Linked DNA regions of Drosophila melanogaster. The protein of the gene in region 2 interacts with the protein of the main gene of each other region in a pairwise test. Each region holds a gene or a part of one and is shown on either strand. Other genes may lie near its edges.

Evidence for each region.
Region 1: the proteins of lov (region 2) and CG6470 interact in a two-hybrid assay, tested with the Drosophila melanogaster proteins (one large-scale study listed by BioGRID).

What each region holds. Positions count from the first base shown.
Region 1 is NC_004354.4:18,512,287-18,516,499, forward strand, and holds CG6470 (uncharacterized protein), read right to left. Parts: upstream 2,582-4,213; 5' UTR 2,424-2,581; coding exon 2,051-2,423; intron 1,544-2,050; coding exon 903-1,543; 3' UTR 543-902; downstream 1-542. Other genes in the region: HisRS (Histidyl-tRNA synthetase), read left to right, coding at 3,304-3,396.
Region 2 is NT_033778.4:25,136,606-25,141,452, forward strand, and holds the start of lov (jim lovell), read right to left. Parts: upstream 3,023-4,847; 5' UTR 2,937-3,022; coding exon of another isoform or gene 2,836-2,936; intron 2,784-2,835; coding exon of another isoform or gene 2,459-2,783; intron 2,407-2,458; coding exon of another isoform or gene 2,056-2,406; exon of another isoform or gene 2,022-2,055; intron 1-2,021. Other genes in the region: CG43106 (uncharacterized protein), read right to left, coding at 2,056-2,406, 2,459-2,783, 2,836-2,936. UniProt on the Drosophila melanogaster protein: Has a regulatory role during midline cell development.

The sequences.
Region 1 (4,213 bases), on a different chromosome or scaffold from region 2:
CGGCAGCTCCCGCCTGTGACCACCAGCACCTGTTGCGATCGACTGATGGCTTCGATCCGCCCGAGTTGCCGCTCATCGCCTATCTTGTATTCCCTGCACACGACCCACTACCGCCAACGCCACCGCCGCCGCCGCAAGCGCGAAAGAGATAGCGCACAGAAACTTTGAGCTTGACCGCCAAAGCTCGGCACGGAACGGAACGGTGAACGGTGAACGGTAAACGGTAAGGCAAGGTAGCGCCGGTGACGCAACGGACGTGCGTGCAGTCAGCTTCATTGAGCGAATGTATCGATGCACAGCTATCGTATCGATTGCTCGAGCTGGGTATCGAAGCGCTTCTGTAATACATCGATATCATTCTTCTTTACATATTAGATAGTGGACTAGAGAGGAAGCGATTTCTCATCGATTTTTTCGATAAATTTAAAAATATATATACCCATTTTAGTATCTTATTATGCTTTTAAAGCCTCAATGGATTATGATTCTTTTACCTTTCCGCCAAGTATCTAAGAAATGACAATTCATTGCAAGTAAATCTTCTGTTTAGTTCAAATATTTAATTATATTCAATACATTTGCATCAACGTGCTGGGGACTCTTAATTTAGTTTTAATTGACCGTCGTTTGTGGAATGTGACTATTCAACGCCAGTGTGTGTTTCGGTCTTCAGAACAGGTGAGTCTCCCACTAATCGTGTCATTGTGCTCAATTCATACTTCTAATAATTTTGCCTTCAATTCCACAAATTTTGATGATCCTGGTAAACAAATCAAATACAGTTGAGCTGCATACGCCCTGCACTTGACAATTTTCCTTTCGTTTCAATGGATTCTTCTGGTGTTTGGAAGCAAGCGTTGGTTCTGCATCCAGTTTCTGGTGAAGATTGGTAATGAGGACGACTAGCGCCAGCGCTCGTGCACTGCCGACTCGCGCATGATAATCTTCTGAAGTTTTTCCTGCTGGGTCATCTGATCCTGCTGGTTGGTGGCACTGTTTCCCTGGTGGTGAACCGGCTGCTGCGCCCGCTGAAAGTTGGGCAACGGCGCCTTCTTCTCGTGCGCCAGTTCCGTGAAGGCCAGCTTGCGGCGCTGCTGCGGCGGTATCTTCTTGCAGTAGCTCAGCAGATGGATGTGCAGCGTGCGTTCCAGGTCGAAGGAGCGATCGCAGTACTTGCACAAATGGACGGTGGTCAGGGTGGTTCTGCTCTCCCGCGGTCGCCGTGCACGGAAGCGCACCTTGAAGTCATCGTCGTGGGTGTGCCGGTGGGCGCCCAGCAGCGATCGGATGTGAAACTTGGCACCGCACACGCCGCACGAGTAGCTGGGCAGCTGCTGGTCCGTGGCATAGCTGCCCAGCGGCTTCAGCTGCAGTCGGCCAAACGGTCCGCCCTGATACTCCCCGCCATCTCCTTCATCATGATCGGGCTTCGTCGTTCCGTTGGAGGCTTGCTGTGCGGCCATAATGGCTTCCATTTCCGCTGCCTCGGCCTCGGCCTCGTAGTTCCGGGGCGTGAGGCCATTGCGACGAGGAGATAGCAATACTGTTGGAGAATGGAGAATGGAGAATTGGTTAACTCAATATGAGATCTTAAATTAATATCACTTTTAATATACTATATTAATCAGTTAAGTACTATATACCAAATTTGGTGTTAGTAGCTTTAATAAGGCCCAAGATCATATAGATAACAGGTGTCCAAATCGATTATATTTAATAACCTACAATTGTAATCGTTGTTTTAAAATAAATTGCACTTGAAACTTATGTTTCGTGATTTATATGAGTATAATAAACCAATAAAGTACTGTACACCAAATTTGGTGTCTCTTGCCTAACTAAGCACCAAGATCATATAGAAAGAAGGGTCTTAAGTAGATGATATATGTAATGATGATAAATATATACTGCTGTTTCAAGATTTTAAAGAGTTCTAATAACCAATAACGTATTGTATACCAAATTTGGTGTCTCTAGCTTGAATAATACCCAAGATCATATAGAAAGGTGCATCCCAAATCGACGATATGCAAATGTATTTGTAACTTACGATTGCAACTGCTGCGTCTTCTGTTATCGTAGTTGTTCGTCTTCTCCAGCGGCGAACTCTCCTCCTCGTCGGTCTCTTCCTGAGCTGGAGCGTGTAGCAGACTCCTCTTGCTGCGCCTGCGACGCTCACCATGGGCATGGCCAGCCATGCTCGATCCTTCCCGCCCTGCTCCTCCGCCTGCGCCAGCCGTGCTTCGCTTGGCCGCCCGAGTGGATGCACTGGCTCTGTTCGACTCGGACAGGTAGATCAGCTTGCGCTCCACCGCCCTGCGCGCGTTCTCCACCTGAGCCTCCACGAATTCCTGCGGCTGAATCCTGGAGCATCCGGTCCGCTTGGCGCGCTTCACCTTGATGGGCTTTTGCGGCTTGTTCATCTCGTGTGTGGTGTGCGTGTGTGTTTGTGTATGTGTAGCGTGTCTTATTAATTTTCAATGCTATTTTTTTAATTTCAGTTTGTAGTCAGTCGGTGTCGAAGGAATACTGAATCTAAGGGTGATGCTTAAATATATACCAATGAAACTAAGCACATCGCCTGCTGGGCAGGGAAATTTTAAATGTTGAAGTAAAAAACATTTTTCCAATCTTATATTTCATTTCGAATTTTTCGATTTTTAAACAATTTAACAATAAACAACAATTTAAACAAAAAACGCTTCTTAAAATATTTCAGGATTTGCTATTTAAAAAAAAATATATTTTTTTTAATTGATGATTTGTAATATATGTAGTTTTGACAAAAAATATTCTATTTAATGATTTTAGGATAGATAAGTTTGTGCTGTAATCGAATCAACTTATTTTAACTTATTTGAACTTGTTTAAAACAAAAAACAAACAAGATCAACTTTACGCAATCAAGTGACATGAACATTTTTATTTAAAAAAAAAAAAAAACGATAAAATTAGCTAATAAATTGTAGTGCAGTTAATATTACTAACAGTGGCCAGCATTCGTGTGTTGATTGTTGTTAATAAATTATAAATTATACACTTTACATGTCCGCCAGCCCAGTTATCAACCACGGTTTGAGTTCGCACTAGCGCACGTTTTCCCACCACGCGACGAACGGTCACATTGACCACCGCGTGCGAATTTTTTTTTTGGCCAGCAGCGCAGAAAAAGCAGCTGAAAGCTGGAAAAGACAGCATAAATCGCCGTGTCGATTCGAGACGATTGAAACGCCGCGCGCCCGCCTTTTGCAGTGGACTGTCAACCGTTTGCCGTTTTTCATTTTTGGCCATCGAGCACGGAATATGAGTGATACGCGTGAGCAGATTCTGGAGCAAATCAAAGTGCAAGGCGATCTCGTCCGTCAATTGAAAGCAGCGAAGGAGTCGAAGGAGAAGGTCAGTTTTTGGTCGTACTTCCAGTTGGAAACCGACTCCCTCCCTCCACCCAGCACTACCACTTCCACCATCCAACCCCCCCACCCGTCAGCAACGCGTCCGCCTTCCAGTGTCATCCCCCTTTGTGTGTGTACAATGGAATAAGTGCAATTGTTGCCGTAATTCCCGGCCCTGCTTTCGTCATCAAATTCGAAATCCCACTCGCATACATATTTCATCAGATCGTCATGCAGTTGAGAATAAGGGAAATAACAAAAAACACACACATGCTGCGCTGGCATTTGGAGTTGTTCGAAATCTTCGTTTTTGCAGTGTAATAATTAGATGAATGTAACATCGGAAGAGCGGTGCAAAGGAAAAACGGCAAATTAAAGGAGCGCGCAGACTTTCACATTTACATTCGCATTCGCACATTCGTGCCACTCTGTTGTTATTGTTGTCTCGCTCTGGCCAACGGCAAATGCACTGCTTCTGTGTGCGTGTGTGTTAGTGTTGTGCACAGTGATGCCAAACTATTGTCCCGACTATTTGGCTGGAAAGTAGCTTAAATTAGCAGTGCTGTCCGAAGCTGTGACTAATAGAAGCAATTGTTTATATTAATCTCTTGCTGATGTAAGTCTACTGATGCTCACTTCAAATCTTTGGCTGGATTTCCTTGAAACTGTGCTGAAAACAGTTGGAGACTTCTAGAAAACTCAATAATCTTTTGTGTTAATAAGACCTTAAAGTGATTTTTCCTGTACTCTTTGATGTTCTAGACGCTGTCCAATTAGAACAAGTATTGTACAGGTATTAAATAATCCAATTGGGATACTTA
Region 2 (4,847 bases):
GTTCAAACAAATACTTTTCTGAATATGCATGAGAAACCCTATAAAATGAACTGGTGAATGTATTAAGGTGTATGAAGTAAATTTTACCCCCTTTGAACTCTACCCAGAAATTTTTGAGAAAGTTGTCAGCCAGGTTTTTGTGTTAAACCAAGTAAAATGTATACATATATGAAAAGCGCGGTATAATAGAAATGAAATGTGGTCTGCCTTGCTTTATTGGATAGTACTCTCCTGTATTAATCGCAATGTATCACTCATTGGTTTCTTTTATTTCTGTTATGCCACACTTCCTGTGGGCTGAGTATAAAATGATTCCAATTTTAGATTAGTTAAATTAAAAAATAACAAAAAGTCCTTGCCCTCATCCCATCAAAGCCATCATAGCAGCATTGATAGACATGTCAATGTGGCATATTTGGCTTGCATGGCTCTGGTTACTTAATTTAAAAGACACCCAACGATTATTGGTTTGAAATTGCTTAGAACACGCAAGTACGGTTTTTCCTTGTTTTCTTTTTTTTTTTTTTTGCAAAAGTTTTATGTATTTTTACGGTTGAGTAAGTAAGTAGGCGTTGATCCAGAAAATTCGATTTTCGTCGGATCAAGGCAGCCTGCTACAACATAATATAAAAATATTAAGACGGCGTTGGTCGCTTGTACATAACTATCCAAAATAACTATATTCACAAAGTCAACCGTCCACCAACTAGCACCATTTTGGTTTCATATGTCTTGATGTAGCCTGAACCAAAGGTTCAAAAACGCACCCATGCTCACTTACGCGCAATTTTAAGCTACTTGTTTGGGGCGTAGAAGATTCTGATGCAGGAGCTATCATGATGCGATTCGCAAGGCGTTTATAGTGCCAAGACGGTATTGCATTTCAATATGTTTGCGTGTTTCTTTAATGCCTTGTTTGGTTTCACATCTCGTATCCCATTCATTTTACCGCGGTAGTCCTCGTACCTTCTCACGTGTACATGAAAAGCTTTTTTGTGCGCAACAAGTTTCTAAACAAAATTCTGAATTGATAAATGATATTGCAAACAGTTTCGGACTCGATTTACATTGAGTCGAGGCCGTTCGTCATTAATTATTTTTGTGTAAGTCCTTGAGGGCAAGCAACGAAAAGTTAAGGTTTTTGACATTGCATTGCAATATGCTCTTTTGTTCATGCTAACAGAAAAACTGTGGTTTCTGGCTTAACATCTTACAAGTCTGAGATAAACGTCATAACGTCTCATATTATCACCCATATATAGTATCAAAAATCTTCACATAAAACGTAGCCAAGACAAGCGATCTTGGAAAGAACCCGAAAACTTCCACAAGTTGCCTCTCGAAGAGGGCTCATAATAGATTATTGGTACGTGCTGCGAGACAGGTTTCAAGGATGTAGGATAGGACAGGCAGCACACGAGACTCATTAATCCTGTTGGCAAACGGGTGCCCGGGTGGCCTTCGGCTTCCTTGCCACGACTCATTTGTGCTGAAAACTTTCTGTTTGATAAATTGCCCATAATACAAGCACACATTCTCGCTTCTCTTACAACTTTGTGTGGGGCCAATCCCAAACCATGTATAGTCATGCCAGAAGCTGCAAAAGGGCTGGTAGCTGTTTTGGCCTGAACTTTTTCGATAGATAAACACTTAACACGTTTTTGCCAGTAATCTAAATACTCCCCTTTTGGCGAACATATATTTACTTACCATTCAATCATATTTGTGTGGTGGCGAGGAGAGCACTTTAGCAACGGGTTTTCTGCAGCCCTTTGGCGTTTTAATATGCAAATACTTGGGCGTCGGTATTCTCTTATTTTTCTCAATTGACGTGTTTTTTCTTTGCAGTGCCATGTCTGTACACAATCTGATACCGTCACGTTATGTCAAACTTATGGCTGATTTGATTTGTGCGATTGTCACGTTTTTGTTTTGATTATTTAATGCCATGAAAGACAACTTAAAGTCACGGTAGAAAGTTTGGTCTATAAATAATTTGAATTTTATATTAAAGAAAATATATAGACCTTTAAACTCAAAGGCATCAAGTAGTAATTATTTGTCTGCATATTCCGGATCGCTATCACTAGTAAGGCTCTGATTAATGCTTATGTTATTGAGAAATCTGTCGTCAGCCGATTCCGAGTCCCCTGTTACTGAGCTTGATAAGGACGGTGATGTCCTACCAGAATTTTGACCTGAACTAAGTGCTGAAGGCTCTGCGTAATTTTCTCCAGCATCAAAATCCTCTTTATTATTGCCGACCCAACATTTTTCGCACTGATCTCCGTCGTCCGATTCACTCATGTCTTCCTCTTCGAAATCACCATAAGAGGATTCAGATTTAAGGAGCGTGTCCCCAGGTGGCAAACTTACACTACCTTGATGTTCATCTGATCGACATGCCTGCGCTTCCCATTTAGAAATGCACTCTTAGTTTCTTTATGTTTGTACTTACCGTATCCAGATTTCGACTTCTACACACGATTTGAGCGTCATGCAGCTCCTTCATCAAGGCATTTCTTTCCAATGAGTGATACTCGCGTTGAAGATGACACTCGGATTGCAGCTCTCGGTTTTGTTTGCGTAAGGAAAACATTTCGCTCAAAATTTGATGCTGCTTCTCAACTATAGTAGTCACCAACTGCTCAAGGTTCTCAATTGTAACTTCGTATTCGCGTAATTTCTTTTTAAGGAGCCAGTTCTCTACACGGCAGTCGGATAGACTTGAGGCCGACAATCTAATCTCAGCAGCATTATGCCCCAATGATTCTTTATTCACCCTAAGAGAAGTCCAGTGGTAACAAAAGATAAGATAATTAAATTATCACTTACTCGTTGAAAGCGCTCATGTCGTCACTTGCAGGCAAAGGAAACGCTACTAGGTCTCTGGTGGCAATGTCCCCGAGATCATGGTATTGGCAAATACAGGACATTATTCGATAAATTTGAAAGTATTCTAAAGCATTAATTGCACCAGACTTTTAATACAAAGCTAACTAATTTCTCGAGTAGAGCGTAAAAATGGGTTAGTTCTAATATTACAAAACGCTGTGTTTCTCTGTAAATCAACTTTGCGACAATAATAACCGATTGTCCTCCTGTTTTAAATGTTGATACTCCTCTCAAAGCTGACTTAAACTGCCCGAACAGATATGGGTGTCAGGGCATTTCACTTTACAGACTGCACCCATCTACCGCTCGCTGCGTCCCCTCAGCCAGTGGACACTTTACGACTTGACATTTTCACACTTTGTTGGCAACGTTTTGGAAGCTTCCTACACTTTCCTCCCTGTGGGGCACAGCAACTGACTTTTGGGTCGTCCTTGTTACAGCGTCAAAGCCAGCGTCGATGCAAGCTCCATGAATCCGCTTGGGATCCGAGAAGTGCAAGTGTGTGGCTTCAGCTGAATAGGAACTGTATAGGTATGAGACACTCCTTTTTTGTGTGCGTCGGTGGATTGAAGTGCAAAATTGGTTTAAGTGTTTGCTAAATTGGCAGCAAAATGGCTTTTTCAATTTATCCTCAACGTTTGTGTGCATACTCGGAAAAGGCAAACGCTGTACAAAAAGTTAAGCAAGATAAACTAAGCATTTTTTACCACATTTTTTTGGCAACTGGTTTTATATAGCTATGTTGTTGATATTTCTCCGTTTGTTAACTTTTGCAGTGCTTTGCGAAGTCACCAAAACGCACCCATAAGTGAACTCTCATCCGGATACGAGCACGCATTACTCGCCTAGGTCATTTCACACTCTTACTATTGACGCTAAACGTTTTCAAATAACTGTATTTTTTGTGCACACATATCTTAAAGTAGAGATAATCATGGCTTGCACCGAAGCCACTATTGCAAAGCACATATACGATTGCTCGTATTTTACTACAATTAAAGTCGTATCGTAATCGTGATACCTCAACAATGCCAAATTACTACGCAGGCCATGTTAACATAAATATCTTGTGCCTCCTCTATTTAAGAGTATCTTGAGACTCAGCCCGCCCTTGAGGGATGGCCAATCTATAATCGCTCAACCTTAAACTTAAACTAGAGAACGCATGCAAGCGTTTATTTAAAAAGGCATAAGTCATACGTGGCTAATAAATTGATTTACTAGAGTGGATTAGAGTTCATTGCTATGACATATACAGGATGTTCTAGCTGTACTGCTGAGCAGTGATCTTCGTTGTTGCTGTCTTTAGGGATAGTGAGCTGGCCCTCGTTGGAGGCCCCTGTTAGTGCAGCACAAAGCGAACTTTTCATAAGTTTAACTATGTGAGCATTTAGGGGAAAAGTGTTCTGCCCTCGGTAAGAGCAATGAATTGTAGACCCAAAACGCTTGGCGGACTCCTTCCAGGCTCAATCGCACTTCGTACTTCGAGACTTTGGCTATGAAAAAAAACTTTTAAAATGCCAGTTTGAAGTCTATTATTTGCTGGACACGAGCATATATTGATTGCATCGCAGTCGCCTCGGTCAGCCACAAGATGCAAGAAAGCAAATTGCTTCAACAAATACTCGTACTCCCGAAAGGGGCTTGAGATGTGGAGGGTGATTTTGATGGGGTGGGGTGGGTTGCGGTGTAGGAAATCACATGGTAATCGGTGGACTACGAAACTGAAACCAGAAATAAAAATGCAATCGAAGCCAAGTTTCGTAAAGAGGTCTTTCAAACCGGTTTTCAGGCGCAAAGTGCAGATCCCCCTGTGACGGTTTGCAGAAAGTCTTCGGTTTCTTGGCGGCTTCGTGTAGTGCAGCATTTAGCGTCTTGATCGGTTTATCACCGATTAATTAGAGTTTGATAAATACGCGCACGCCGTGAGTTTATAAATCATGGGGGCAGAG